Caenorhabditis elegans: one gene and its partner. The protein of the gene in region 1 purifies or fractionates together with the protein of each later gene. This does not show direct contact. Each region holds a gene or a part of one and is shown on either strand. Other genes may lie near its edges.

Region 1 (3,753 bases):
CTATAGGAATTGAGCTTTTCAATGAGAAAGCTGCATCGTTCAACCCAACAAAGGTAGGGGAAAAGTTTTCTAATGTTCGCTTAATACTTACTCATTATCAATTTTTCAGCCAGTCGTTGCTGCTTCAGTTGAACCATTGTACTGCAAGGCTTGTCGGAAATCAATCAAATCGGAGAATGCAATGACTGATCACGTAGCTAGCAAAAAGCACAAGGAAAATGAGAAGAAGATTGAGGATGATGTGAAGAAAGGTCCAAAGCAACCAAGAAAGAAGCCAGAGAATTTGCCAAAGAAACCTGAGTCACTAAAGGAACCTGAAAATGATGAAGATGATGACTCGAGTGGATGGGAAACTGACGATGAGGAGGAAGGTGTGGAGGAACTAAATGAGGATGATGCTCTTCCAGTCACATCTTGTCTGTTTTGTCCACAGACAAAGCCTAATATGGATGAAATGCGTACTCATATGAACTTCCATCATGGATTCCAACTTCCAGACAGGCAATACTTGAGCGATGAACTTGGATGCTTAAGCTACTTGGGACTTAAAGTTGGAGCTGGTCGTTGCTGTATCTTCTGCCCAGACGTTAAAGCCAGATACGAATCAGTTCAGAGTTGTCAGCAGCACATGCGAGATAAGCAGCACTGCAAACTCCGCAGAGATCCTGAAAGCATGATTGAGCTCGACGACTACTATGATTACAGTCCGATGTATGATGGAGATGATCAAGATAAGTCAGAACTGTTTGATGATGGATGGTCGCTTACTCTCCCTTCTGGAGCTAAAATTGGACACCGTAACCTTCATCGATATTTCAAACAATACCTTCGCCCAGTTGATGGTACACAGAGACTTGTTTCAAGAGCAGCACTCGATAAAGCAAAGGGATTCTATCCAGCTCTCGCTTGGACTGGAACTACGAGTAAGTTTTATTAGAATTCTATGACATCAAATAGTAGAAATAAAAAGAAATGTAACAAAAATAATATTTCAGCTGTCGCGGCCAAGAAGGTTGCTCGAGACATGAAGTTCGTTGAGCGTTTCCGTCGTCGTTTCGATCTGCGTGTGGCAGTCAAGTCGAACAAGTTGTTCAAGACAAACGGATTCGTCGGAGACAATCATTGACCACTTCATTCCAATTTTTCTGTTCCTGTTTGCTAACCTTGTTGTTTTTGCCGTTACCCCCGTTATGTTGACATTTTTCAATGAATATCCATCTGAAATAATTCGCTTCGATATACCAAAGAGGGATTTGGTAATGATCTGGTTTTCAAATTCAACACAATTCTAATTAGATCAAGTGTTTTGACCAAAATTTTCTTCAAAGGGAGGACCAAGTTATTACGAGCGCAGGTCTCACAACGAACACATTTACTACGGTAATCTTCAACTTTATTCATCATACAACGAAATCTTCCCTATTTAGAATTTAGCTTTTTCTTGGCGTATTCTGAACATTTTTTGCTAAATACGTCGCTTTTGTTAAGCAATTAAAAAATAGAACTATACATTTTCGCTCTCGCCTTCTAAATATTTATTTTTCGAAAACATTTCTTCTTCTTTTGATTGGCTACGGTATGCGAGTCCGCAATAGTCCGTCGCGGTGATTGCACACTTTTATCTTCCGAGAATTTTTTTACAATTTTATTTTCCATTTTCTCATTAATTTTTCCCCGAAAAAAAAAAAGAAAATGCCATGTTTTTGTTTTCAAAAAATTGTCGATATTTTATTTACTCGTAATATCTCTTCCGGGGTGATGAATATTTTGTTTCAGATGGTTAAACTAGATGAGGTAACAAACGAAAAGTGCTTCCCGCGTGGTGGTGGTTCGGACAAGCCAAAACCATTGAACAAATCCAACTCGGACTTTGTAGGAACGAAAGGAGGGCTAAAGGTTTGTTATTATCTCTCTTTTCATTCTAAGTATTCAAGTTTTAGAGAAAGTCCGCAGCCCCAGAACAACACGAGGCCAAGAAAGCTAAAGAAGAATCTAGCTGGATTCCGAAGGTTGAGGAGAACTGCTTCATTGAAGGACTCACAGGTTTTGGGGTAGTTTCTGAGGTTTTCGATGATGGAGTTCTTCTGCATACCGCTGGTACACATACCGTCAAGATTCATGCTTCAGAAGTCTCGAAGAAGTTTACGGAACTTTTCAACGAGGAAAAAATTGAGATTAAGAATGCATTTCAACTCGGCCAGATGGTTCCATTTCGTGTGATTAGTAAGAAGCAAGGTAACGACAAAGGGAAGGTGAAAGGAACTTGCAACCCAGCTCGGCTCAACAAACATCTCTCTCCAAATATGTTGGCTGCCGGTCTCGTTCTTCATACCGCCGTCGTCAGTATTGAGGAGAAGGGTGCTATTCTGGATGTTGGACTTGATCAAATAACAGGATTCATCGAGAAATCGCAATTTCCAGCAGCAGGATTGAAAGAAGGAATGCCACTTATTGTTCGAGTTCTATCTTCCACGTCAAGAGTAGTAAAAGTAACTTCCTTTGTGGAGCAGGACAATTTGAATATGACGTCTTGTGAGAAGCTCCAACTGAACCATTTGATGCCTGGAACAATTCTCGAATGTGAGCCAACAGGAGACGCAGTTACTGCTGGAGTCATTGTAAACATTGGAAATGGCCTGAAAGGAATTCTCCCTCGCCGAAATTTGCCTCCGCGCCTTCGTGAGAATCCGGAGAAGCTCGGGAAAGCCATTAGAGCAATTGTGATGTTCTGTCAACAAAATTCAAAAATCCTTGTACTCAATGCACACCCAGATATTGTTGCTGCCAGTCGTATCGAAAAAAGAACATCGTTTGAAGGAATTTCAATTGGAGACAAAGTCAAGTGCACTGTAATTGATGTACTCCCAACCAAAAGTATGGTGTACTTTGCTCTCCCTGCTATCGATGGAAAAAAGTCATTGGTCACTGCGGTGTCATCTCGAGGACTTTTGGAAAAACCAGATCAAGTTTCTACTGAGTATGAAGTTGGAACGGAAAAGCTGTGTCGAGTCACAGGATTTCGATATGCAGACCGATCGATCACCATTTCAACGAGAAAAGATATTTTGAATCAAAAAATTACAAAATATCAGGTAATTAAAAGTAAAATTAAATATTCCATTTTTATATTTTCAGGATGCAAAGTGTGGAGATGTACTTGATGCTCGTGTTCATCACGTGGCAAAAAGTGGAGTTTACTTCATGGTGTGTAATTTTGTAAAAGCATTTGCTCCTTTGAGCATGCTTTCGGATAAGCCACTTCCTGCGCAAAAAATGAAGAACATCTATAAAGTTGGAACTGAAGTAAAATGTCGTGTATGGCAGATTTGCGACGAGAGAAAAAATTTAATCGTCACATGTCGAGAGTCTATTCTTGGATTGAAAAGTCCGTCCGTCAACAGTGTTCAAGAGTTGGAGATTGGAGTTACTGTTCCATGCGTTATCAGAAAGGTTTTCCCAACGGGAGTTCTTCTTCTCGGAACATTCAATAACATTTGTGGAGTTCTTAGAAAGGAATCCGCCGTTCATTTGCCAGGAACACCGAAGAACAACGATTTTGTAGTTGCTAATGTGGAGAAGATCGAGGACAACCGAGTTGTATTTGTGCTTCGTGACGTTAACCCGAGTGCTGCTGTTGCAAATGGACAAAATTCCGAGAAGAAACTGGTTCAGAGACCGAACCCAGCTGATGGAGGTATATCAATTGGAAAGATCTACAAAGGATCATTGTGTGCCAAGGCAGGAGAGAAAGCA
Region 2 (3,753 bases), on another chromosome or scaffold:
AATAGATTAATTTTTTAAAGGCGCATGCATTTTCCCACTGCCGATATCCCGTTGCGCACGAGTGTTTGCCTCTCGTGTACTTCTCTCGGACAATTGGCGGGACTTTCGAAATTCATTTTTTGAGGTTTTTCTATTGGATTTTTAGTGTTTTCCGGCAGTTTGTTGAATAATTTAGCTCAAAAATGTTCTAAATTGTGAGATTTATTCGTTTTTAAAGTATAAATTGTGTGACAAGGACCATTGCATCGCTGGGAAGAGCAATAGTTAACTATTTCGCTGGAATTCTAGTAATCGGACGATTCTGTGGACTTATTGAGAGGTTTTTGATATTTTCTTATTGAAGCGTGTTCCTATGCTGAATATTTAGCTGATTTTGCTGCAAAAACAAGTTTTTCGGCCATATGCAAACTGATTCTCGAAAAAAAATCCCAGTTCTCTTAATTTTTCCCATTAATTCTCCTCATTTACGCTTCCAACTCCTACATTTTTGCCTTAAAAGCTTTCCATCTTATTAGCTAGCCAAATGAAGCGAGAATAAACAATTTCTAGCTCTTCTCTCATCTCCAACCATCTGCGTCTCCGCTCTCTTCCCATTTTCGAAAATGTCTTGCTTTGGAGCAGATGGACCGTTGTCAAGGCATTTTTTATCGCTTTTTTTCGTTTTCCCGTGTTTTCAATCGATTTCTCGTTCTCATTTATTCAAAAACAATATTTTCAGCTTAAAATGGAACCGACAGCCGCCGAGAACAACAACAATGTGTGGCTATTCTACCCGAATCTCATCGGTTATGGACGCATAGTACTCGCCATTTTGGCCATGTACTACATGTCGTCAGCGCCATGGTGTGCAATGTTCTGGTGAGTTTTGGCGAGCTGGAAATCGATTTTTGCATCAAAAATTAGCTAATATCCATGTTTACTACTACTTTTCATCTCTTTTTCACTGAAATGTCGAGTATTTTTGCGATGCATGGTAAAGAAATCAAGGTGACCAGGTTTCTTTTCAATTTTCCCCCATAATTGAAGAGTTACAATGCCATCTGACAAGGTTTTTCAGAAGAAAAGTCCTGAAAATTAGATTTTCGTAATTAAAATTTCTCATAATTTCAGCTATGCACTCAGCGCCGGACTCGACGCGTTTGACGGATGGGCGGCACGGACCTACAATCAATCGAGCCGATTTGGAGCAATGCTCGATCAGCTCACCGATCGGTACGTTAAAATTTCTCAAATATGCTGGAAAATTCGAGAAAAAAATTGGATTCGGTAAAATTCTCATATTTTCAGCTGCGCCCTGCTGGCCTTGGTGATGGCGCTCTGCAAGTTCTACCCGGATCACTTGTTCCTGCTTCAACTGTCGGCCGTAATCGACATCGCATCTCACTGGCTTCACCTTCACGCCACTGATCTCTCCGGTGCCACGAGCCACAAGCAGTCTTCGAATTGGCTTCTGAACCTCTACTACACGGATCGATTGTTCCTCGGATTCATGTGCGGCGGAAATGAGGCTTTCTACATTTTGCTCTACATTCGCGCGTTCTGGGCTGGTAAATATTTGATTTATTTTTGCTATAATTTATTAATTCCTCTAATTTTCAGGACCACTGATCTTCAACTTCCACTTCATGTCGATCTTCCCACTCATCGCCTTCCCGATTGCCTTCGTCAAGTCCGCCATCTCCGTCGTCCATCTGTACACTGCCGCCGAGATGGTCGTTGCTCACGATGTGAAGCTCCGTGTTGAGGCTGCTCAGAAGGCCCAATGATCTCCGGATCTCCCCGAAGTCTCCAAGATTCTCCTCTGATTCCCCATGAGCTTTTGTATACACATTCCCCACTACTTAATTCACGAGCTTTACGCTTAGCTTTAGTCCTTTAGTGCTCTCGTCTCAGGAAAATGTTTCCGATTTCCATTTAATTCCAAATTTGAACATATTTCTCTGTAATTTTTTTCCCCGTAATTTTTTTTTTCGCAAATTCCCGATGTACTTACTCTGTAAAATAATATTTATTTTGTTTATTTTATTTTCCATTTATTATTCAATTCGAATTGGTTTTCAGCCAGCCGATTTTATCTATTTTCTCTCAATTTTTATTTCTTGTTTTGATTTTTTTAACCTTAATCCCACGATTTTTGCAGGATATTCGACTATCCCGAGTTGACTACAAACTACAATGGCCGACGAGCTAGCCCGAATCCAGCAGTATGAGTACCGGCAGAACTCCAACTTGGTTCTGTCGGTCGACTACAATCTGACGGATCGGCGTGGCAGAGAGGAGCCGACTGGCGAGGTGCTGCCGATCACGGATAAGGAGATGCGCAAAATGAAGATGGGTGACCGGGCGATCAAGGGAAAAGCGCCGGTGCAGGATCAGAAGAAGAAGAGAAAGAAGAAGGACGACGAGAAAGCACAACAGTTCGGCCGGAATGTCCTTGTCGACAATAATGAGCTCATGGGAGCCTACAAGCCCAGAACCCAGGAGACGAAGCAGACTTATGAAGTGATTTTGTCTTTCATTTTGGACGCACTTGGCGATGTTCCACGCGAGGTTCTGTGCGGAGCCGCTGACGAGGTGCTTCTCACGCTGAAAAACGACAAATTCCGAGATAAAGGTGAGGTGAAAATCGAAGATTTTCAATAAAATTTATATTTTTTTTTCAGAGAAGAAGAAAGAAGTGGAAGCTCTTCTGGGACCGCTCACCGACGATCGTATCGCAGTTCTCATCAACTTATCGAAGAAGATCAGCGATTTTTCGATCGAAGAGGAGAATAAGCCTGAAGGCGATGGAGACATCTACGAGAATGAGGGTGTAAATGTGCAGTTCGACTCGGATGAGGAAGAAGATGACGGTGGGATGGTTAATGAGATCAAAGGTGATAGTGAGGAGGAGAGTGAAGAGGAAGAAGGTGTGGATACAGATTACACGGCAACACTCAAAGGAGATGGTCATTTGACGGAAGATGAGCAAAAAGCACGAGGAATTCTTCATCCACGTGACATCGACGCTCATTGGATCCAAAGATCGCTCGCCAAGTACTTCAAAGATCCTCTGATCGCCCAACAGAAGCAAACGGAAGTCATCGGAATTCTCAAGAACGCCGCCGACGATCGTGACGCCGAGAATCAGCTTGTCCTGCTGTTAGGCTTCGATCAGTTCGAGTTCATCAAGTGCCTTCGCCAGAATCGTCTTATGATCCTCTACTGTACACTTTTGCGTCAGGCGAACGAGAAGGAGCGTCTCCAAATCGAAGATGATATGCGATCTCGTCCAGAGCTTCATCCGATTCTTGCACTTCTTCAGGAGACTGATGAGGGATCTGTTGTGCAGGTGGAAAAGTCGAAACGAGACGCGGAGAAGTCGAAGAAGGCCGCCACAGCAGCAAATGAAGCCATCAGTGCGGGACAGTGGCAGGCGGGCCGCAAGATGTTGGATCTAAACGATCTCACGTTCAGTCAAGGATCTCATTTGATGAGCAATAAAAGGTAAATACAATTTTATTTTAAAAGTACGATTTTCCATTAGAAAATTAAGGAAATTTGATTCATTATGCACTTTAAAAGTCCACATTCCCAAAAAACCCTAAAATTCTCAATTTTGCAGATGCGAGCTCCCCGACGGATCCTACCGCCGCCAGAAAAAGTCCTACGAAGAAATCCACGTACCAGCCCTCAAACCACGACCATTTGCTGAAGGAGAGAAGCTCGTCAGTGTCTCAGAGCTCCCGAAATGGGCCCAACCGGCTTTCGACG

The links.
Region 2: the proteins of let-716 (region 1) and snrp-200 fractionate together in Caenorhabditis elegans (co-fractionation; one large-scale study listed by BioGRID). This does not show direct contact.

Annotation. Positions count from the first base shown.
Region 1 is NC_003281.10:6,381,776-6,385,528, forward strand, and holds the start of let-716 (rRNA biogenesis protein RRP5), read left to right. Parts: upstream 1-1,776; coding exon 1,777-1,896; intron 1,897-1,940; coding exon 1,941-3,092; intron 3,093-3,135; coding exon 3,136-3,753. Other genes in the region: znf-622 (C2H2-type domain-containing protein), read left to right, coding at 1-53, 110-923, 996-1,126.
Region 2 is NC_003280.10:12,735,298-12,739,050, reverse strand, and holds the start of snrp-200 (U5 small nuclear ribonucleoprotein 200 kDa helicase), read left to right. Parts: upstream 1-2,140; 5' UTR 2,141-2,175; coding exon 2,176-2,614; intron 2,615-2,663; coding exon 2,664-3,486; intron 3,487-3,604; coding exon 3,605-3,753. Other genes in the region: pisy-1 (CDP-diacylglycerol--inositol 3-phosphatidyltransferase), read left to right, coding at 725-858, 1,111-1,212, 1,288-1,547, 1,600-1,766. UniProt on the Caenorhabditis elegans protein: Catalyzes the ATP-dependent unwinding of U4/U6 RNA duplices, an essential step in the assembly of a catalytically active spliceosome. Plays a role in pre-mRNA splicing.